Oryzias latipes: one gene and its partners. The protein of the gene in region 1 purifies or fractionates together with the protein of each later gene. This does not show direct contact. Links are inferred from orthologs where the notes say so. Each region holds a gene or a part of one and is shown in the gene's direction. Other genes may lie near its edges.

Evidence for each region.
Region 2: the proteins of pex5 (region 1) and acox1 purify together in Homo sapiens (affinity purification with mass spectrometry; 3 studies listed by BioGRID, with this or other methods). This does not show direct contact. The link is inferred for Oryzias latipes from reciprocal best matches to the Homo sapiens genes PEX5 and ACOX1.
Region 3: the proteins of pex5 (region 1) and pecr purify together in Homo sapiens (affinity purification with mass spectrometry; 3 studies listed by BioGRID, with this or other methods). This does not show direct contact. The link is inferred for Oryzias latipes from reciprocal best matches to the Homo sapiens genes PEX5 and PECR.

Annotation. Positions count from the first base shown.
Region 1 is NC_019874.2:20,499,672-20,507,819, forward strand, and holds the start of pex5 (peroxisomal biogenesis factor 5), read left to right. Parts: upstream 1-2,929; 5' UTR 2,930-3,125; intron 3,126-5,008; 5' UTR 5,009-5,051; coding exon 5,052-5,165; intron 5,166-5,282; coding exon 5,283-5,321; intron 5,322-5,483; coding exon 5,484-5,601; intron 5,602-5,706; coding exon 5,707-5,853; intron 5,854-6,578; coding exon 6,579-6,663; intron 6,664-7,127; coding exon 7,128-7,218; intron 7,219-7,446; coding exon 7,447-7,569; intron 7,570-8,148.
Region 2 is NC_019859.2:3,126,668-3,134,055, reverse strand, and holds part of acox1 (peroxisomal acyl-coenzyme A oxidase 1), read left to right. Parts: intron 1-1,658; coding exon 1,659-1,766; intron 1,767-2,087; coding exon 2,088-2,207; intron 2,208-2,283; coding exon 2,284-2,399; intron 2,400-4,710; coding exon 4,711-4,880; intron 4,881-5,345; coding exon 5,346-5,508; intron 5,509-6,497; coding exon 6,498-6,688; intron 6,689-7,212; coding exon 7,213-7,388. UniProt on the Homo sapiens protein: Involved in the initial and rate-limiting step of peroxisomal beta-oxidation of straight-chain saturated and unsaturated very-long-chain fatty acids.
Region 3 is NC_019875.2:17,248,028-17,256,143, reverse strand, and holds pecr (peroxisomal trans-2-enoyl-CoA reductase), read left to right. Parts: upstream 1-3,054; 5' UTR 3,055-3,082; coding exon 3,083-3,194; intron 3,195-3,521; coding exon 3,522-3,655; intron 3,656-3,747; coding exon 3,748-3,913; intron 3,914-3,983; coding exon 3,984-4,065; intron 4,066-4,142; coding exon 4,143-4,239; intron 4,240-4,321; coding exon 4,322-4,432; intron 4,433-5,594; coding exon 5,595-5,706; intron 5,707-5,777; coding exon 5,778-5,860; 3' UTR 5,861-6,371; downstream 6,372-8,116. Other genes in the region: dnai2 (dynein intermediate chain 2, axonemal), read left to right, coding at 1,237-1,372, 1,450-1,596, 1,791-2,012, 2,097-2,129; ndufb3 (NADH dehydrogenase [ubiquinone] 1 beta subcomplex subunit 3), read left to right, coding at 7,671-7,798, 7,877-8,027. UniProt on the Homo sapiens protein: Participates in chain elongation of fatty acids. Catalyzes the reduction of trans-2-enoyl-CoAs of varying chain lengths from 6:1 to 16:1, having maximum activity with 10:1 CoA. Has no 2,4-dienoyl-CoA reductase activity.

The DNA of each region.
Region 1 (8,148 bases):
TGTCTGTATAGTGTCATTTTGGTTGAAAAGGACTGAAATAAAACATCTAGTCTAATATTTGTTATTAAAAACCAATGAAACTTTTTCCAAATATAAGCTAGAACAATTTGCAACAGGAAGGCATTGAGTTGTGGATGACGACACATGCGTCTCTCTGAACTTTTTGTAAAACTGCATTGGGAAGTCTGTGCACAAGCTCGTATTTTTCTTTGCGACCTCCTCCGACACATTCCTTTACCCTCAAAGAGTGAAGACATCAAGTTCAGAAGTAACAGCCACAAAAACCTTAAATCTGGCGTACCTGTAGGTGTTCTTCCCTCTATTGTGAGATTAGTTTACTTCTTCAGATTCAAGCTACGTTGTATCTGAGTCTCCTGACAATACTGAAACGCTTTCTTGCACAACCCTCACTCAAGCTGGCACTTTTTCAACACTCATAGAATACAAAATGAAACTTCTTTGTTCAATTCTGAGCATTTACAAAGTTGCATTTTCTACAATGAATTGAGTTAAAACTGCAGCAGCTATCATGCAGATAGACTCTCTCCACAACACTGCTCTACATGGAAACACACACTCCATAACATTACCCCTCGCTGTTTTCAGAATGTCCGCTCAGCTTGGGCAGTTTTGATTGTATTGATTGTAATGAACTTTCTGTATATACAATGAAGACTACTATGATGTTATTGATATTACTATTATATTTTGCATCCACTCTTTTACTGCACATTTTTGAGAGGGAGCAGATTATAATTTAACATTTTTCCACATGAGGAATCACTTTTCAACTCAAAGAAGTAATATAATAATGATAAATAGTAGTAGTGATAAGGATGATATTCCCATGGCTTGATGAGTGTCTCCTAATTTGTGTGTAATAATGTTGTAATTTATGAACCTGTCAATATCTGAGTCACAAAAAAGGAGAGCACATTGTTGTAAGACTTTCACTCATTTCAAGGGTTTTTTCCCCCATTTTTTTGTTTTATTTGTTGACCATATTTTATGTTGTTTTCATTACTTCTAGTAATTTTGGTTTAATAAATGTACAACTGTGTGCTTGTCATTTTTACCTTCCCATCACGCTCCACTCGCCTTTTCCCTTCACCTCTCCATCACTCTCCCTCTGTGTCTCTTGCTGTCTGTGTATCCTATCAATGTGCAGTGCTAAGGTTGTCAGTAAATAAAGCCTCTTGTTTTTGAGTGTGATGTTAAAGAGCCAATAAACATTGCATTAATAAATAACTTATATTAATACTATGTTACGGTTTGGAGATTTACCTGTGATTATCGATACACTGACAATGTGGATTAAGCTGACTAATTGTTACTGAGAAGTGTCAGAAAACATTACAAAATTCATAATAAAAGCCACTATATGACGTCTCCATGAGAAAAGTTTCCTTGCTAGTGTGTGCATTCACTGAAACTGCCACCCAACAAAATCCCAGTATCCATATTAAACTTATTTTCCTGTTAACACACTAACACAATCACTTTCACTTTAACCCTTGTGCTATCTTAGATGACCCCACCCTTACATTGACATGTTCTCCCTACCATGATAAAGGTGGAAAGATTTCATGTAATTCATGGACACCAGTGAGGTTCACAAATCATTGAAGAAAAAAGGTTCAGCGCACTCTCTAGTGGGTCTAGATGACCCAACACCCAATGTTAAAGTGCCTAGGATAGCACAAAGGTTACATCACCTAAAGCAGCAGACAGTATGTCTTATTATATATTATATTACAGTCTTTTACTAGGCCTGCACAATGAATCGCAAATTTATTGTTATTGCAAGATCAAGCTGTGCAATATGCATATTGCAAAAGTCCGCGAAAATTGCAATAAATGGTTACCTTATCTTATGCCAGCGTGAAGTATTTAATGAATCAAATAAATCTCTTTATGGATTTGACCAACCGGATGGACGTCTTCATGTTGTGGTCCAATCGGATGGAGCCCTTTTATGTTAGATGTTCGCCTCCTATGTAGACGAGGGTCATTTGGAGTATAATTTTTAAACTGTTCCAGTGAAATGGGATAGATGTTTTTGGTTGTTTTGCTATTTGTTCATGTACCGCAAGTAATATCGTCATCACAATATTGATCACTAATACTGGATATTGCAAGTTTTTCTGATATGCAGCCCCATGTTTTACCTATTAGATTGTAGATGAGTCGTATGCATTTTGAATTGATATCTCTGTTTTCTAAAAGGTAGCAGTTTTACTTTTATATTGACTGTGAACATTTAAAGTATTTTTAAACATAGTTTGATTTAATTTAATGAGGTTTTCTATGATTTCAATCCATGCATTCATATAAGGCTAAACAATTTTAAAGGAGAACTAGTGTATGGAAAAATGGCCTTGGCTTCTACTGATATCTAATTATATAAAACACAGCCTTCAGCAAACATGACTGAATTCTCCAGCCTACAGGAGCAGAAAATAACAGAACAGTTTGTTCTGCTTAAGTTAATGTATATCACATTGCAATGTTTTTATTTTTGTGGGAGGACTAAAGAGTATCAGTCTGGTAAGATTCACTGGCTTCTAAGAATGGTAATATTATAATTAATAACAATAACAGCTAATGGTGTACCTACCAATGTTGGCAGAGAATAACCTCTTCTGATTAGAAATAAAAGTTTTAAAAAAATCATTTGGGTACACAAATGATGTCTGCAAAACTTCAAGTGAGCCAAACACAAGATGTATTTTACTGTTTACTATTGGCATGAGAAAATTAGAAAATTTGGTTAAATGAAAATAACCTTGGCATGTGAAATTTAATTAAACAATTATCAGTGGCCATTGTATAATTTATTCTATTTTATTTTAATCAATGTAACATAGCTTCTCTCTCTCTCTCTCTCTTCCTACGTAACGTCGTTAAAGAATATACGTAACCTACGTAACGTAACGTACGGCAGATCTCAAAGGAGTCTGTGGATGGTTCTGTGGGTCATGGAGGTGGAAGATAAACATTAGGAGCATAAAGCGGCTGCGGTTCGAACGGTGCTAGATTCAGACACGGCCCTCGGAGCAGAAGCTAGAGAGGACACCCGGGCCACAGAGGAGCGACTGCGGCAGCAGCAGCAGTAGCTGTCGGCGGTGAGATGAACAACAACAACCACCATGCTTATTCAATTCGGACTCACTGTGCCGTACAAGAATGATCTTTGTACCATGTAACCTGCTCGTTAGCTAACTCTAGCCATGCTTATGTTAGAGTCGAACTCTTTAGGTATTAATATGTTTTCTTTCTGTCTAATATTGGGGTTTTTAATGGGTTGAGGTTGACTACACAAAGACGAAACACATCCTGACACATGTAGCTAATTTTACCGTTTGGGACTGAGGCTACAGTTAGCTTAGGTTAGTGCAGAACCTCTGTACACTCTGATGCCAATATTTGTAGTTACTCCCAACTATGTGTGCACATTTAAAAGATACATTAAGATTGCCTTGATTAAAACATTTACGTTGCTCTTCCAAATACCTGAAGTGTGACGTAGACGTGTGTCTAACTAAGGCAGCATGTGTTGTCTGTGACAATATTTTATTAATATCTTTGTTAATCCTCTTACTACTTCGATCCTAATCATTATGCAGCGGTCAGAGGTGTGACTCACTAGGATGCTTATGCCAACACTAAAAACGATGAGATTTATTTTGGGGAGATGACAGTTGGACAGAAAAAAAGATTGCAATTCTCTTATGTATGTATGTATACTTTACGTGATTAGTTGTTTTTTATTTTATTTAGTTGATGCAAGCTTGTATTCCTTGTTTTTTATTTTTTACTGTTATTATTTTCATAATTAGATCCTTGTGTGTATGTTTACATCGTGACTGATCTATCTATTCTAGAGGCGATTGTAACATTTTTACACGAGTCTGTCCCCACACAGCTCAGACCTTCAGACCTGAGGCTTTAAGACCTCACAGCAGTCTGAATGCACTCATCCATACAGAATAAAAGCTTTTCTTCATTGTGAACACTGTAACCCAGGGAAAGCACAAATTGCCCCAAATCAATTTTGATTCACTATGTAAATGTGTGGTAAACATCCCCGTGCGCTGCAAGGCTTACAATCCGTGTCCTCATTATTAACAGTTCACTAAAAGCCATTAACTGGCATGAAAATGCGACAGATGGAGTTTTAAATTTGTTGACAAGGCATGGGGCTTTTTGTGCAATGTTTAAACCCTCAGGCTTTCTCTTCATCTGGCTCGTCAGCTGTTAAATGATTCGTTTTCTGGACCTTTTATGTGGAGCTAAAATGTAAAAAGAAAGAGCAATATTGCATGTTTGTGATTGTATTCGTAAGATGGCAGCAACTGGCAGGTTTAATTTATAATAAAACACTTGACAGAAACCAGGAAGTGATTCAAGATAATACTTTGAAGCTCAGATTTTAAAGAATATTAATAATGCTGCATTTCCTCTCAGATATCTTACTATGTTTGGTGACAAAATACACATTTGATTTTTTTTGTTCAGATTTCAGATACGAATAGTTTGGGATACAATATGTCATAGCTCTAAATATTTGGATTTGGATTTGGAAATGGTTTATTTCAAGCAATCAGAGCAAAAAGAATGCAAAAACAAGACGAACAACAGAAATGTAAATCTATACAAAGATATTTCAAACATAGGATAGTTATTCATTCAAATATGATTACGTTCACGGACACTAATAAATAATTTAATTCTTAATCTTAATCATAAATAAATATATTTGTGAAAAAGTGTCTTGGTAAGTTTTTGGCAGTATTTAGAGTTTCAGTTTGCCAATAAAAGTTGTTTCCAGTCCTTTTCATTTTTTGGTCAAAGTCTAAGTTAAAGTAATCAGTCATTTTTAATTCATTTTATTGTCATTTGCACAACAGTCCTTTGTTCATAAATCTATTTAATCTGTTGCTTTCATTTTTTGTTGTGAAACAGAAATGCATGTATTTCGCAATCCTTATTTATTTATTTTTTTTAGCTTTTACGTACTCTAGTGGGGTTTGCCTCTTCCTTCCGTTGCCATGGCGATGCGAGAATTGGTGGAGGCCGAATGTGGTGGAGCCAATCCCCTCATGAAGTTGGCCAGTCACATGACCAAAGAAGAGGGGACATGGCAGCACCGCACCAGCCCTGCAGTGAGTAATGTTGGGCATTACTAACTAATGTAACATTAGCTGTTTTTTTTATTCCATTACAGCAGAATAAAATGCATTTAATGAACCGGTTCTGTTTTCTTTACCGCTTTTTCTCAGATTCCACCAACTCCTATTGAAATTGCAACCGAACAAGAGGTCTGTTTAGTTTTCTGTCCCTTTATACTAAAATATCCTTTTAAATATTTGAAATATTCACCTCAAGTTTTTAGAATTGTTATATTTTATGCATGAAAGCTATCTTTCAAATACTTACAGCTGTGAAATGTTTTTTCTTTTTTTTTTTGGTTTTTGCTCCAGTTGGTGAATGAGTTCCTTCAGGCCCCGCCACGCCCCCCCACCACATTTGACATGGGTCAGCTATTAGAGGAAATGCAGCAGATCGATCAGCAAAGCTACAGACAAGCTCCACAGAGAGGTGCACATCATTCTTCCAATTTATTCATACATTTTATACAATTTTTCTCTCTGCCATGTGATCTCAGCACATTTCAGAAAATGATATCCTCACTTCTTGTTTTAGCTCCTGATGTGGCCGCACTGGCCCTCTCTGGTGATTGGGCTGCCGAGTTCCTCTCCAGTTCGGATTCTGCCACCACACCGGGTCTCACCTCTCTTGGTGATTCAGCAGATTCTGATTGGACCAGAGAATTTATTGCTGAGGCTGCAGGTAACTGGAGTTTCTTCCGGTCTATGATTTACTGCAGTTGTCTCACTGATTTAGCGGATCTAACTGTTATCACATTTTAATGTTTATAAGCTACAATATGTACATTACAAATGTCTTTAAAGTCCCCCTCCATTAAAAATCATGTTGTTGTTTTTTTATGTATATCTGACATTTTTCTTATGAAAGAGAACAAATGTAATAAAAAATAATTTCTTTTTTTCATTTCTGAGTATTTCTCCTTTTAAATCAGTGGCAATTAAACTGACGCAAAGACGCGCTGTTTATATGAATGAGGCGTTGTGATGTCACAATGGCCTAGTAGTGCAAGCGCATTGCAGAAGCTCCCTGATCTGCCCCGCCAGGCGTGCACAAGCTCAGGTGCGTGAGAAGAGAAGATGGTGCATTGCTGCATTGCCTGCACATATTTTAAGTGCATCCAAGGCTGGATTTTGTTTTTGACCACATGTATGAAAAAAATCAAAGTGGCCGAACCGCGTTTGGCCCCTTGATCAAAGGTGGGGCTACTCAGCTCAGCACCAACAGCCACACCCATGTAGAGGAGATTTTGGAAACGGAGGCTTCAGATAAACATGAAATATGCCTTTTTACAACATTTAGGTTGTGGGATTTTGATTCAAAACTTCAGAATTATAATCAAAACACAACATTTTTTTAATTGTCATAGGGGGACTTTAATTTATTCTGTTTAATGTATTCCTCTCCAGACCCTGGACGCTGGGCAGAGGAGTATCTAGAGCAGTCTGAGGAGAAACTGTGGCTCGGAGACCTTGGAGACAAGGAAAGTGAATGGTGAGAGGTGGGCCATGCAAAGCGTGTGGATAATAAAGTGTTTGCAGGAAAAAGTCCTTCAGGCAAGCATCAGTGAGTGCGCAGTGGCAGCCTGACACCCCTACAGGAACAAAAGAGGAAAAGCTCCAAGGGAGACAAACGATAACAGATCTGAATGCAGATTTAAACCTTGAACGCTTTCTTAAGCGAATGTGTCGTTTTATGTCCACCCATTTACTTTTATCCTCTTCTAACTTTATGCATTGAGGCTAATTGTACCCAGAGCTGTCCATGCATACATATAGGGCCGTCTGAATTCTAAAGCTAATGTATAGAATATCGGCCTTGGCTTCTACTGACGTCTATTGAAAGCACAGCCTTCAGCAAACCTGAGTATTATCTCCAACCTACATAAAGAGAAAATAACAGAACAGTTGCTCTGCTTCTATTACAATCTTGTGGTATATTTTGTATTTGTCTGGCAGGACTAAAGAGTATCAGTCAGGAGAAGAGCTGAGGCAGACGGCAAATGAACTTGTTGCAAAGGTCGATGACCCCAAGTTAAAAAACACAGAGGTGAGTGCTGTCCTGCTCTGTCATGAATCAGTCATGTATTTTTTCCCTTCATATCTGTCGCCTTATTGTTTCTTGTTCTTTAGTATTAAGTGTTGGCTTTATAACCATTAGAAGAGTCATGTAAAAACAACCAATTATCCCCAATTAAAACCGCTGCTCAGTAACAATTTTGTGATATAAAGTTTTTTTTCTTTACTTTTTTTTATTGTTCCCCTCATTGTTGTGTAGTTCCTGAAATTCGTTAGGCAGATTGGCGAGGGAAGTGTGACAGTGGAGAGCAGAGCAGACAAACAGCTCACAGATAAAGCTCAGGCTGAGGAGGCTCAGAACTGGGCCTCCAACCTCAACCAGGTAGGAGTCACTGGCCTCTGAGGATGGTATTGCTACAACTAACAGCTGTATGTTTTGGGGGGGGGGATGAAATTGGTTCATGTTGCATAGGCTATGCAGTGTGACTCACCTCCCCAGTATCTGATGCAGTGCACCATTTTCCATGAAGGTAATCAAAAGCAGCCACCAGTTTCCTAGTAGTAGGAATCTCAAGGCTGCGCAGTGCTGAAGATCCAATTTGTTTTGAAAAGAAGAACTCGGCACGATTAGCTTTTCCTCTTAGAAATTTAGTTTAGGTTTAATAATAAGTTTAAGGTGTTAAAATGGTGACTCGAGGCAATACGACTTTCATACAGGGAATTTAAAAAGCTTTACAGTGATTGAAGATTTTGCCAGAGCAGCTTTGGCTTTGAATCTAACCATACACATTGTTGGCGAACATCTGAGCTGTTCAGCTTGTTGGTAGCAAAAGCTCAGTGTTCCATCAGTATTTAAATTTACTGCAGCTCAGAAATAAAAAAGTCCCTTTCCAATCATCTATTGATCAAAGTCTTCTCAATAGCTTTTAACTATGATTATGCTGTTTTTAGCCAAAATCAA
Region 2 (7,388 bases), on another chromosome or scaffold:
ATTCTTTTTACAAATAAATCTAGATCTTTTTAACCCATAGTAGTCCAGGGCCTTTTTGCACTTCATTTCTACTTATATTACAATTTATCTTTTAAACCGTTTTTTTGTGGCAGTGCTTGCTATCCAATCTTTTTTAATACAACCCCAGCTTTTTTTTTTCTTTTTCTTTTTTTACAAATATATTTTTGATTTTCGTTACAGAAGGAAACAGTCAGAAAACTCAATTCCAGGTGGTAAATTGAGATCAAACAGTTTTTTATGTTTTTATAAGAAAAGATCAAACACGTAGAGACAAAATAAAGATTTATAATCCACATAATAAAGCAGACATGAAAAAATGGGGGAAAAAGGCAAAAAATAGCCGGAAGAAGCAACATTAAACTCCATACAAACCTCCATGGATTTATTCCATGATGTGTCATAACTCCCATGTTTGTTTATAACCAGGTATTTTATAGCTAAAATCTTAGTTAGTCATTTTGAATGAACACTTTGCTGATGGGAAGGTCGGTTTGATTCCCATTCAACAGCCGATGTGACTGGAAAACTCCCAGGTGAGTTCAGGGGTTAAAGTTGTAACAAACAGAAATCTATCGAAACCTAATTATACCGTAGTTTTCAAATGAGAAAATGTTCTGCAAGTCTTTAGGTTTTTTTGCCAATTTAACCTCATTTAGCATCTTTATTAAAGAATAGAGTGGCAGGAACCATCAAAGAAACCTGAAGTTTGTGTTTTTCCATGGTTTAACGTCAAAAAGCTTAAAAGACTTATGAACATGAGATTTTTCTGTCACCGCTTTTAGCCAAACCTGGAACAGTTTCCAGCTTTAGAAATTAGAAATTAGCCCACATCAGACCCCCCCCCCCCCCCCCCCCCCCCCTTTAGAAAGACTAACCTGCTGCTCTGTCGTCAGTCCCACTGAGTAACCGTGTTTTCCATTTTCTTAAGCCGGTTTGGGATGCTGATGCATGCTGGGAATGCACGTTCTTGTCCTGTTGAAGGTCGCTTTACATCTGTCAAACAGCTATAAGATTTACTGCAACTGAACTCACCTTTATATGTAAAGTAAAATAAGATTTTAGACTCAGGGGCTCCACATGTTTGTTTGTTTTTTCTATTGATATAACTCTTTCTGGCATTTTAAAACTGCATATTTATATACTACGTACATTTTGCGCTTTTTCCACGTATGAAATGTTGGTCTTTTCTGATTCATGCATGATCTACGTAATTCGGAAGTGTTTTCTTGCGTCATTCATCGATGTCCGCAGACGTCCGTCGAGGGTCTTAGCCGACGTGAATTCAAAATTTTGGGTCGGTTGAGAATTATGCTGTCTACGCATATTTCTGTGCTATTTATACTTATTATTACGTAAATCTTACGCAATTGTGCGTAATTTATTTATTTATTTTTTTCCATGTATGGTTTATTCATCACTTATTTACTTCTTCCTTGGTTTAACGTTATTCATTTGTCATAAATTTTCACGTAAAACCACAACTTTTTAACTTTTTCCAAACAAATTCACGTATGACCAATAAGCGCATAATGTACGTAGTGGCTGTGTGACACGACTTATGGAAGTTGTAGTCATGTGTCACGCCGTGTGCTGTGCACACACGTCTGGCCCATCTTTCATGTGTGGTGTGAATCCAGGAACGCATCTGAGAGGGTTGGAGACCACGGCCACCTACGACCCGGCCACTCAGGAGTTTGTCCTGAACAGTCCCACCGTCAGCTCCATCAAGTGGTGGCCTGGAGGACGTAAGTGTCTCCAGTCTCGTTCAGAGGTTCTTCTGTGTTTTTTATCGTCTGAAACCGACCGCAGCAGGCGGATGCTGCGACTGAATGTGGTTCTGCTGAAGGTTTCCTCCTGTTCCTGCAACTTTTCCTAAAAGGACACTCAGCACACCAGAAAACACCAAAAATACTTGACCTTAGGTTATACTAATATTCAAAAGATGGACTATTTATTAAAAAAAGAAAGCATTTAAATTCGGGACGAGGATGTGCTTTATAACTGAACTGAATTCAATCTTTTTTTTTCAAACAGAAACTGTAACTGTCCCTCCTTTTTCGTTTTAGTTGGAAAGTCTGCGAACTATGCTATAGTTTTAGCTCAGCTTTACAGCCTTGGGAATTGCCACGGTCTGCACGCCTTCATCGTACCTGTCCGGGACATGGACACACACATCCCGCTGCCAGGTAACCTGCTGCCATCTGTACGTTCTGCGCGTCTGTCGCATGTTTTCCTGAGCCCAAAGGTTTGTCTTTGCTGCAGGCGTCGTAGTTGGCGACATCGGACCGAAGTTCGGCTTCAATGAAGTCGACAACGGTTTCCTGAAACTGGAGAACGTGAGGATTCCACGGGAGAACATGCTGATGAAATACTCAAAGGTGAAGTTTCGAAGGACTGCGTTTGAACCAGTAGATGTTCAGAGCTTTGCTTAGACCAGGGGTGAGCAAACTACGGCCCACCATATGCAGCCGAGTAAACTGTTTAATCTGGCCCACCAAGCTGGAATAAATGATATTGATTATCCTTTATAATGGTTTATTTTCCCTGTAATGTGGTGTGTCCTCATAGATGGGCACTACAAATAAATTGACCTTTAAGTAAAGAAAGTTATTCTGCTTTCATATAATGTCAGAAGAATTGTTTTTCTGACGTCCATGCGTGTTTTCTAAATCATTTTTGTAATTATTCCTTTACCACATAAGCACAGCATTTCTCTAGATTAACATTTTTCCCCTGACAGACATCAACCAATTGGTGCAATTGGCCCTGAAATATGAACAAAGGCCACAGTTTTGAAATTAAAACTCAAGTGTTCTGTTTTTAAAGATATATGTCCATTTTCATTTAAAATTAAAGCAGAATCTTTCAAATTCCATGTTATTTCTTCAAAAAAAAATAAAAGTCCCGCTGTCTGTCACAAAATTTGTTCTCCGCACTTGACCCATTCAGGGAACCATTTGGTGGTTCAACCCAATCCAGCCCCTTAATGCTGAGTGTCCCATTTTTAAAGTCTTTGGTATGACCTGGCCCGGGTTTGAACTCATGACCTTCCAGTCTCAGGGCGGACACTCTAACCACAAGGCCCCTGAGCTGGCCACTTTCAAAGCCACTCTCTCTTATCAGGTGGATTAGCAAAACATGCCATGCTCCTGGTCTGGCCCTTCTGTCAAATTTTAGAATCCTTTGTGGCTTTGGATGGGCTGTTTGCCCACCCCTGCAACTGCAGCTTATTTTGTGTTGCCTGTCTGTGACGCTCCCAAAAGTAGCAGCCCTTTAGTTTATTATGCAGATACCATCTTTAAAACAAGAAAACAGTATTTTTCTGAAACAAAGAGGCGCACATGGAGGAGCAAACTTTAACATCCAACTTTCTGAAATGACTGAAAACCTTCTTTTTTTTTTTCAATTTAGCCTCAACTGTTCAATTCAATTCAGTGTTATTTCTATAGCCCAATATTTACAACAATAGTCGTCTCAATGGGCTTCATACCGGTAATTGTGTAATAAACATGAATCATAAAGAACATAAAATCATAGATTTCAATAGGTGACTAAACAGACTAAACTAAACCTTTAGGCCATCCTTCGCTGTAAGGAAAAACTCTTAAAAAACCCGGATTCCAGAAAAAAAACCCAGAAGAAACCTCAGGGTTGCCCAAACTGTTGGACTGCTGGTTTCACTGCAAGACGCTCTGGTTCTGCTAAACTCCACAAACTGATGGGAAGAGCTATCACCGATACGCTGCCTGCTTTTTGGAGAAAAATGATTTGTTTATGCAAATCTACCGTCAATCCATCACTTTATTTGTAGACCACCTGTAGAACACAAGGTGCCCCAAATAAAAGACGTACACAGAGGTTAACTAACTGACTTCTTAGGTTCTTCTGTTATCAGACACGGTTGTGTCGTTCGCATACCTGACATGTTTTGACGGACGTCTTCGTCGAAATGAGGGGCACCTGCCTGCTTTCTGACACCTGGAGTAACATCCTCCAGCAGCAAACTTTGACAGGTGACTCCGCCCCAGTCACAATCGTCTGTTTTTATCAGTACCGTCTGATGACGACTCTGACGAACACGTCCGTCCAAACATGGAAGGGGTGTGAAAAACACCGCCGTGTCCGATAACAGAGGAACCAAAAAAGTCAGTCATCAATATAGACACTATGAACTTTATTGAGGTTAAATAAATAAAAAGTTTGAAAACACAGTAGAATAAAAACAGCAACAATCAAAAGATAAAATGTAGGAAATGCGGTGGCTAATAGTTTGAGACATTTTACAAAAAAAGAGGCAGCCTTTGTCGTTCTTCCTCACTTTTACTCTGTGTGATTATGAACAGAATTCCTTTTCCCTGTTTTCCTGTGGATAACATGTTCTGATCGTCAGGTGAACTGACTTTAGCAGATGTCTTTGGTGTGTGCTACATGTAAATAATATTTATTTGTGTAAAGTTAATAAGTAGTTCAGAGACTGCCGGCGTAAAAATTCCCTCCCTGCTTACCTACCTGAAGTTTAAAGGATTGAAAAGATTAAAATGTATGTTTTTGTTCCTTTTTTTAACTGAGATTAAAACTAAGATTTCTTTTTCCATGTTACAATAAAACATGTTTCAAGGTTGATTAAAGAATTAGATTCAATTTCATGAGTCTGAAGCATTTAAGGTGATTCTGTTTTATGTCCACTAGGTGGAGCCAGACGGCACCTATGTGAAGCCTCCCAGTGACAAGCTGACCTACGGCACCATGGTGTTTGTCCGCTCCATGATCGTTAGGGAATCGTCCAAAGCCCTGGCCAAGTCCTGCACCATCGCCATCCGTTACAGCGCCGTCCGCCACCAGTCGGAAATCCGCCGGGGGTGAGTCACGCATTACAGCGCCGAACAGTCGACCTATATGTAGACGGACCTGAAATCGGAGGGAGGCTTCTGCTATCAGGTTCAGTAACAGCGTGGGAATTTGACTCGTGGGTTGTGATGCTCCATAATAAAATAGTTCAGGCTTTTATTTTGAAATGAGATGGAGAAGACGCTCAAATAAAACAAAAAATATGTTCTTGGACATGATTTTTTTGGGTTATGTAGGAATTTACATCAACTTTACAAGGAATATAAAAAAATCATTCAAATTAAACAGGTTATGGCCACCAAAAGATCAATTACATTTCAGTTAACAGGTTTAAGGTGGATTTTGATTATCATTTCCCAAACATGTTTTCTGTTTGTTTGCTTCTGCCAAAAGAAAAAGTTTTCATTTATGGTGGAACTTTAAAAAAAAGAATATTACTTTATTATTACTTCCAACACGTTTTTTCTTTTTTCCAGAGAGCCAGAGCCTCAGATTCTGGACTACCAGACGCAGCAGTACAAGCTGTTCCCTCTGCTGGCCATGTCCTACGCCTTCTCCTTCGTCGGACAGTACATGACAAACACCTACCAGCGCATCAACGCAGAGATCAACCGGGGGAATTTTACTGAGCTGCCAGAGGTACAAAGCAGAAATTACATTTACAGTTAAATCAATGGATTGATTTCATGATTTATTACAACAAAACTGTCGGTTTAGACTTGAAATCTTAAAAGACAACATTTTATTAAATTTCCAACTTTTTTTAGACTGAATATCTATATGCATGTATTTCTTTTATGTACCGGTAACTGTATTAGTCACATAGCCGAGCAAAGAGGATTACAGTCACTACAAAAAAAAAGATATGTTAGATAGGAAATTCTGATTTCTTTTATTTATTTAAAGATTTAGTTTTTTTCTTTTTAGGATCCCGGTGTTGCTTCTGAACCTGATCCTCAAGTTCCGACATCAATTCCAGAATCCAAACTATCCAAACTACTCTCAGAATTTAAAAAGCTCCACTTTGATCTCAGAATCCCATTTTTAAATCTAAAATTGATCCACTAATCCAGACAATAATTCTGGAATCCTGACATTGATCTCAGATTCTCAAATTGGGTCTTAAAATCCAGACTTTGATTTAAAAAAACAAAACAAAAAAAAAACAGTTTGAAAGTTTGACTTGATCTAAGAGACTTGAGTTCTATCTCAGAATCTCAACTGTGACTCTGAATCTGATCCACAAATCCCAACCTTGATCTCAGAGTCTCAACTTTATCCTTAAAGCTCAGCTTTAATCTTAAAAGCTTTTTTACTTGAATTTCTAACTTTTCAAAATTAAGAGAATAAATGATCTGAAAGGAAAGTCAGAATTCTTTTTAAATAGATGAGTGTGAACTTATCATAGAATCTTTTGAAAAGGCCTTTTGACTTCAGCCATCGTTAACATCGCAAAATGCAGAAACTTCCTTATAATTTTTATTTTTACATTGATGTTAGCTGGTCAGAAATAATAGTAAATGCAGTTTTTGACCAATGAACTGTGAAGTCACATCCATTTTGGTATAGTAAATACAGTTTAAGGCTTTTGAAAAACGTATATATTTTTTTTCCCCTCCACCCTACAGCTGCATGCGCTGTCTGCGGGTCTGAAGGCCTTCACCACGTGGGAAACCAACTCTGCCATTGAAGTGTGTCGCATGTCATGCGGCGGCCACGGTTACTCCAGGAGCAGCGCGTTGCCAGACATTTACACAGAGTTTACCCCGACCTGCACCTACGAGGGGGAGAACACCGTCATGATGCTGCAGACTGCCAGGTAAACGTGCAGCTCGAGTGTTAAGTCACCACGCCACATGCTTTATCATTTTTATGTAGGAAAAAAAACCTCATTGGAGCTGGATGAGGTAAACATTTGTCCTTCATCCACCCACTGAGGGCTGCTATAATCACTGGAGACACATCCTCACTCCTCCCACAGTAAAAACAAACACTGTGATGACATCCGTGCTCAGCGATTTAACCACAAACAGTTCACGTGATGACTTCCTGTTTGAATAGTCAACGTTCCAAACATAGATCTGGAAATTTTATAGATGTCATTTTTGTACAGAACTGCAGAAATCCACTTTTCTTTTTCTAGTAAACATTTTGTGTTTGTATTTAAACTTCACATAAAGTTTAAATTCTAGCAAACACTTTGTGTTTAAATCCGAGTTTAAATCCGAGTTTAAATCCGAACACTATAAAACATCAACAGTTCTTCAAGTCATCGGCTCTGCACAAACCCGGCTTTCCAAGATTCATGGATTCATGCATGCGCTGTGGTCCTGATCTGTGCAGATACCTGGTGAAGAGCTACCGGCAGGCTAAAGAAGGCCAGTGGCTGAGCGGCATCGTGTCGTACCTGAACGAGCCGCTGGACCGGAGGCTGCAGCCGCAGGCCGTCGCCGCCCGACCGCTGGTGGTCGACATCAATGACCTGACCAGCCTGGTGGAGGTCTACAAGATCCGAGCCG
Region 3 (8,116 bases), on another chromosome or scaffold:
AAGTGGCCTAGGCACTGCAGGCAAGTGTGTTTATAGACATGATGAGATAAGATTAATGGACTAGGACTTTGTCTTTAAAAGATTCCTGAATGAAACAAACAAATCTTAGAATAAGAGGGTTCATGATGTGAGGTTAAAATGAATAAAAGATGACACAAGAAGACTTATGAGCACCTAACAGGCTGACGGTAATGAAACAATAGATTCAGCTGATAACAATAAAAGATTAATCTTCAGGAACTTCATGAATCTTGAGGAACTATTTGTGGCAGAAAACCGCCATTTACATTTTGTTTGAGTGAGTTTAGGATTAAGAAATGACTTGGATCTGCAAAAAATAACTTTGGAGCATCTCTTTTCATCCTTCTTTTAAATGTTGGTATTTTAATGAACCATAAGAAATATCCAGAGAATGCAGTAAAATGATAGTTTTCTTAAAATACTTTATTCAAGCAGCAAACATCGTAATACGTTGCTGAACAGGCAGCCGGAAAATACCATGACAGCAGAATGTGTTAGTGTAGCTTTTTAGGGAATTTTAAAATAAAGGGAAGAAGAAATTGGAAGTAAGAAGATGTTTTAACAACAGCGACAAACAAAAAAGGTGTATAAAAAATGAATATAATTACTGTTATAATTTTTAACATCAAGACTTTATGAAAACAGCTGCACATGTGATGATAACTGTTGTTTTTTATTGCTTATTATAGTCCAAGAAAATTTTAAATTTTAAATATTTATAAAAGTTGAAGTGATCACTTTGCTTTCAGTCGGTCACATTACAGAATGTTTTGTTTATTTTCTGTGATTTTTTTCCCCCACTAATTGACAAAAAATATCTGAATTTCTTCTTCTGAAATGCAACAAAGCACTGAATCTTTTTCTTAGGATGGACCAGTTAGGATAAAGTTTTAGCAAGATGCAGGTATGAATAGATACATTTGTATTAAAGGTGTGTTTTTAATCAATTTAGGCTTAAAACCAATGAGATAGTTGTTTCAAATACAATTGAATGGATTGGTCAATGATAAAATTCAACTTTAAAAGTCTCTACTGTTAATTTTTCACTTTATCTTTTCTTTTTTGTGTTGTTTTGGAATGCCGTTTCCTCTCCTGAATCTTTTCTCCGTGCTCTAATCCACTTTGTCTTGCATGTCGTCACAGTTCTCAAACTTTCTGGTCTTCCCTGTGTCAACCCTGCATTCAGGTTTCTCCCTATGTTGTGTTGCCTTCCAGGAATGGGGTGTCAGAGTTGATGGACGCTTGCTGGAGCCCAGTCAGACCTTCTGTTTTCTTCACTGTAAAAATGAACGGTGTGCTGGACATCTGGGACATCCTGTTCAATCAGAGCGACCCCACTTTGAGCGTCAAGGTTCTGATCTCACCTGTGAAGATGAGTTTAAGTCATCCTGTTGGTCCACTGAGTCAGGTGTGTGTTGTCATCTTCAGGTGTGTGACGGTGGACTGTACAGCATCCGTGTTGAGGAGAATGGACGCCTGGTGGCATGCGGATCTGAGAAGGGAGAGGCAACGCTGCTGGAGATTAGTTCTGGATTGTCGGTCCCGCAAAAAAATGAAAAAAGTCTGGTTGCTGCTGTAAGAAACCTGTCAGACAGATTTTTTAATGTCTACCTCTGGAGGAGTAATTTTTTTAAAAAGTGTTTTTTAAGTATCTCTAAATTCATATTTGAATGTATTATGTTGATATATTAGTCCAGGACAAATATGGTTCCTCAAAATAGAAAAACAGGCTTTCCATGTGCTCACATGTATACTGTTGCCGCCTGCAGATGTTTGAACGTGAGACGAAGCGAGAGAAAATCCTGATGGGCCGACAGAGAGAGATCCGTTTGAAGGAGAGGTGTCGGTCGGAGCAGAGCAGAGAAGAAGAGGTTGTGCGGGAGGATGGAGAGGAGAGCCCTCAAGAGCTCCTCGCTCGTGCTGAGAAAGATTTCTACAGCATGGTGGAGGTCGAGCTTAAAAGGAGGAGGAAAGGCAAAGATTTGATACAGGTGTGAAAAGGAAGGATATGTGGTCACAACACTCTGGTCACTAAATGATGTGGTTTTTTGATCCTGTGCTTTTTTTCTCTTCAGGAACAAGTTGTCTGTGAGGACAAACAAACATGATTACAAAGAAACTGCCGACGTTTCAAATAAACTTTAAAGCTGAATAAACTGACTTTTGTTTAGTTTAGGACACCCTTTTTTGAGTTAAAATTTGTTTAGAATTTCAGTACTGTGTTGTCTGATTGGTTGGCATCTATAAGGATTTTAAATATTTAAATTCTTTATTGTCTTAGAAAGTACGAAAGAGGATAGTTAAAAGAAAAAAGGGAGCAATGGGAAATTCTGACTTTAATCTAAGTCAGAATTCTGAGGTTCTGACTTTTATGGTTTTTACATTGATATTTTTTCTCTCATTTATATTTACAATATTGTGTAATAATGGTAAAAACAGCTAAAGAGAAAAAACTATTCCGTTTATGTGAAGGATATGATTAGTTTGAGATACTGTATCGCTAACACTCATGAGATTTTATTGTGTAAATTTTGCCATTTTCCTAAAAACACAAGATTTTCATTTTTTCGTACCAAAAATACTTTTAATATCAAACACATTAGTTAATTTGGGACAAGTCCTGTTTAATGTAAAAACCCTTTTTTTTTTCAAGCAAAAAAGTAATAGTTCGCTGTTAAGCAAGGTTTTATTTTTAACAACAAATCACAGCAAACCATAAAAAAGAAAGAAGAAATACAATGACTTTTTTTAAAATCATAAACATAAATGCAAAATTGTAAATTGAATTAATAAATAAATCCAACTTATAGGCCTATTTATTACTGTTGTGTTCTTCTCTGTTCACCTGTCTCTTGATTATTTTATTTTCTGCTTACCTACCCCCTGTTCCGGTCTTTATTTATTTGTTTTTATAAAACACTCAAATACAAAAAATTAATAGATCTCAAACAACAAAAACAGCACAACTCAAAAATAAGTTGAAATTTCGAATCCTCGAAAGTTACGCGCCTTGCGTGATGACGTCACACTCACGTCGACATAGCAAGGTTCATAAACAAACATGGCGGCGGTGAGCGTTTTCAAACCGGGTTTGTTCAACCAAAAAGTCGCCGTGGTGACAGGTGGAGGGACCGGCATCGGCAAAGCCATCTCTACGGAGCTGCTGGAGCTCGGTAAGCTTCGCTGGGCTCTAAATGCTCACGGGGTTTCTCCCCCTGCACGCGGACCGAAGCCCTGAACTTTGACACACACTGGTGAACAGCAAGGTGTTTTTATGTGGGCGGTGCTAACTTTGCCCACACTAGCTTAAATCCAGTGGTTTGTCATTAAAATTAGCGTCTGTCCTTTAACTCTCTGTGGGATTCTTGCCAACTAAACAGCAGGTGCCACCAATACAAAAGTAGGAGCATTACAGTTTGGAGAATATTATCCAATCACACATGAGGTTTTAAAAAAAAGAAAGTTGAAGTTCATTGATGCTGAAGTGCTGCTGACTTCAGGCTGCAGTGTGGTGATCTCTAGCAGAAATGCAGAGAGGCTGCAGAAAGTAGCCAAAGAGATGAGACAGAAGATCCCAGCCTCCAGTCCTGCCAGTGTGACTCCTGTGCCTTGTAACATCCGCAATGAGGAGGAGGCAAGTCCCCGTTCATTCTCTGGATCTGCTGTTTCAGAACAATTTATTTTTTCTCCTTGTTTATTGTTTGCATTGTTTTGTGCGTGTGGCAGGTGAATAATCTCGTCTCATCGGTGCTAAGACAGTATGGTCGTATTGACTACTTGGTGAACAATGGCGGGGGTCAGTTCAGCAGCCCAGTAGAGAACATGACCTCCAAAGGCTGGAAGGCTGTGATCGACACAAACCTGACAGGAACTTTCCACTGCTGCAAGGAAGGTAAGCTCTGCACACACAAGTCCGACAGTGTGTTTACAGCTCTCTGTAATCTATATTCTCCTATGACCAGTCTACACAGCATATATGAAGAAGCATGGGGGCGTCATAGTGAATATCATTGCCGACATGTGGAAGGGCTTCCCTGGCATGGCGTAAGAACCACTGGGAACACACGTTTTGTACACAATGCCCCTTTGAGCTGCGTCATGGTGTTCCCTCCTGCTGACAGACACACAGGCGCAGCAAGGGCGGCAGTGGACAACCTAACCAAAAGCCTGGCCATCGAGTGGGCATCTTCAGGAGTCCGAGTTAATGCTGTAGCACCTGTATGTACACGTCAGACAGATTCCTTTTCAGAGTTTTTGACCTGTATGATTTGATTTATTTAATTTATTTTTATTTTTATAGGGTACAATCTTTTCCAAAACTGCGATGGAGAACTACAAGGAACTCGGACCGCATCTTTTTAAGACGTCTGTGCCATTCTCCCCTGCAAAGAGACTGGGAGTGCCTGAGGAGGTGTGGGGCAAATCCATTACACCCTCCATTATTTTAAAAAAAAAATGTTTCCTGCACAATTTTGTTAACTTTGAATTTAAAACAAGATTACATAGAATATGTATTTTACATTAGATTGGAAAATATTTGATATTTTCAAAAAAGAAAAAACAGAAATAAAAGAAAAGGGTAAAAGAGAATTCCATTAGGAACAGACAGGAAGAAGATGACTGCTTTTTGTTGGCTCCTTCACTTCACAATAATCTAAATACAAAATAGTTAACTATAGCAGTCATATTTTTCTTTTACAGATTAATTAACATAGTTCTTCATCTTAAGAACACAGAGACGCCATCCAGGTTGTATCGTCGACCGTTGCTGACAATGGACTCAAAAACTGCGCCAAAGAATTGCCTCACCACTAAATAAGGCTCTCCCTTTGAATCTAGATGTGATCCTATAGATGAGGCTGAACCCTTTCGTAAGTTTCTGCCAATTAGTGTGACTCTGTTAGTGTGTTACCATAGCAACAGAAGTAATTAAAAGACTAAAAGTGTTCCTAATTGGCCTTCGCCGCATTCATTTGACTTCACAGTAAATAAAGGGAAGGGAAGCAACTCAACTTGCTTCAATAACTTTAACTTCTCTTTTTAAATCTTTTTTAGAGGCTGTTCCCCTGTGAGTAAAAAAAATATGCTGCGCATGCTTTGTGAATTTTAAGCCTGAAGAACACTCGTACAATTTTCTTTAAAATTTGACTTTGATTTTGTTTTTTGGTAATTTTGGCCAACTGGAATTGACAGCGGCCAAAAAAATTAACAATAAAAGAAATGAAAACAAATATTTTAAAAGTAGAGAAAAATTGACTCAGTTGTTTCTTCTGGGTTAAAATTGGTCAATCTCTTCAATATGTGTAGTCTTTAAATCACTAATAAGAAAATGCATTACTCCAACTATTTACTGCTAGTTTTGACTGAACACTTTTTTTTCTTCTTCAAACTAAGCTTAGCTGCAGTTTTTTTTAAAAATCATCCTGGTTGTCTCAACGCTCCTCTTGAGCAAAGCCCAGGTGATGCTTTTCCTTTTGCCTAAATTGTGTTTACCTGGATTAAAGGAAATGGAAACATTCACAACAATCATGATAAACCTCGCTATCTTTGTTTTTGTTGTCTTTTTGTTTCAGATCTCCTCAGTTGTGTGCTTTCTGCTCTCCCCTGCTGCCTCCTTCATCTCTGGAGCCACATTAAAGGTTGATGCAGGACAAAGTCTGTACCGAACCATGTGGGAGATACCTGGTATGTAAGACATCTATTTTCATTTAGCCATGGTTGTCACACATTGGTGTTAACTTTTTTTGTGTGTTTAGATCACCAGGCATGGCCTGAAGCTCCAGAGGGTGAAAACTTGGTTGCTTTAAAGGAGCTGCTGGAGCCGCAAAGCAAACTTTAATCGTCTTGTTTGACAAGTGGACTCCACAAAAGTCTCCACGGTTAACAACACAGATTCTGCTTTTAAAGTCCACAGTATAAAGTATAATCCTGGCTGTAATATAAAAAATGTAAATAATCCTAGTCAAATAAATCTTTTTTGAAAAACAATATATTTTGCTTTACCAGATAGGTTGTTTGGATTGATATAAGAGAAATGTTAATATTACACAAATAGAAAAAAATGACCTTTGGTAATACACCAGTGTTGTCTTTTTTCATCATAAGCACTTTGTGTTGAAGCTCATTAGAATAATGTTAAAAATACAGCATTGTTGCGCTTTGTTAGACACAATGCCTTTTTGTTTTTTTAATTTGATATTTTTTAATCACCTAAAAATGTACTAATTATGAACTATAGCACTTTGCTGAAATTGTAACATGTAAAATAGCTGTTTAATTGTAATAGAGGTGAGTACTGTTGATGTGATGATGTTACAGATCCAGTGAGTAAAAATATAATTATAGCCTTACTCAAGAATGTTGGATGGATGGATGCATGGATGGACGTAAAAACCTCAATGTCTTCATCAGATAGAAAACCCTTTAATAATAGGCTTTGCAGCAGCCCAAATTATGTAAATATTAAACTCCAGGGGGCGCGCAGAAAATTGAGCGTCTCCTTTTACAAGGATCTGACCCTAACACGACACCGTACTTTTGCTGCAAATCAGCTGGAATTGTCGCAGTGATACAGAGGTCACAACAAACCTCTCGGGTACGTGTTTGTTCATTAATGCCTAAATTCTACTCATTTGTGTACCGCTTTTATAACAGGTAACGATAAATAAGCTAAAATGAGATTATGAAAGAAGAAAAAACAAGTCATGGTTTGTATTTACGATTAGCTTGTTGAAAAACGATTAGCTAGTAAGTAACCTAACCTCCCAATGACTTCTTTCAATCACTTGACAAACATTGAGGTAAAAAGAACGAGTTTCATTACATGAAGCTTATATGTAACTTAATTAAACTTTATTGACGTATCTTACACCATACGCGCGCCTTTGATGACTAAACTGATAATCATATGAATAATAGTTTCGGGCTAATAACACTCGGCGGAAATCCGTAAGTAATTGTATTTACATTTTACAGCTTCTGTTAGCGTAGAAAGTAAATAAACATGTTACAGTGTTTATTTTCATTTTTAAATATCGCTAACAAACGTTAGAATTTAGCCTTTTTGTCTTTCACGCTGACTAAACAGCTTCAAAATGTATATAAAATATATAAAATTTCCAGCATAAATTAAATTTCCTGCCATTTAACAACCTGGATCGTAGATTAGTCATTAGTAGAAGTGTCAAAAGGATTTGAGTTTTGGATACATTTTAATGAGTATAAATACCGTCTGACTTCATTTTTAAAGCACAGAAAATTCGGCCGATCTCTTTTCCATTTTCTTTCTGAATATATTTTGCCAAAATCAGTTTCTTTTTCTTTTTCTTTCTGTGGAGAGCTGTGCCTTGTGTCAGAGTAGTGAGTAGTTGTTTCTGTGAGATTTTGTAATTATTATATTTCAATTAAATAAAAAAACAACTTTAAAATGGGTTAAATTTTTCAATGAAACTGTGTGCCAGTTGGCTAGTCGGCTTTTAAAAGTGGATGCAGTATTTGTTGGTTTCGAAATGTTTTGTTTCTTTAATAAACTCAGACGACATTGATTTAAGTAAAGACATTGAAAGTAAAATGTTTTTATTATTGATCAACAACGGCAAATGTGTTAAAAAGTTGACTGTAAAATGACTAATAATGTTTAGGTGTCCAATATGGGAGGAGACCACGGCCACAGCAAGCTGTCCATGCCAGACTGGAGACAGTGGGAAACAAAAGGAACACCGCTGGAGTTCACCCAACAGAGGCTGGCTGCTAGAGGCCTGAAGGACCCATGGGCACGGTCAGCATTTATAAAGTTATGTGTTTTTATTCAATTCCAGATGTCATATGAAACATTGTTTTATCTTTGTCTCTGCAGCAACGAGGCGTGGAGATACTCGGGCGGTTTTGCTAGGGCTGTGACCTTTTCTGATGTTCTGCTGAGAGGGTTCAAATGGGGCTTTGCTGCTTTTACTGTCGCTCTGGCAATAGAGTACGCTGTTTTTCCTCCTAAGAAAGGAGGCCACTGATTCTCCTCATTGTCTCCACACAGTCTAAAAATCTTCTGTATTTTCTGCCAATAAACATGATTTGATTCTCACGTAGATTTACTTCATTT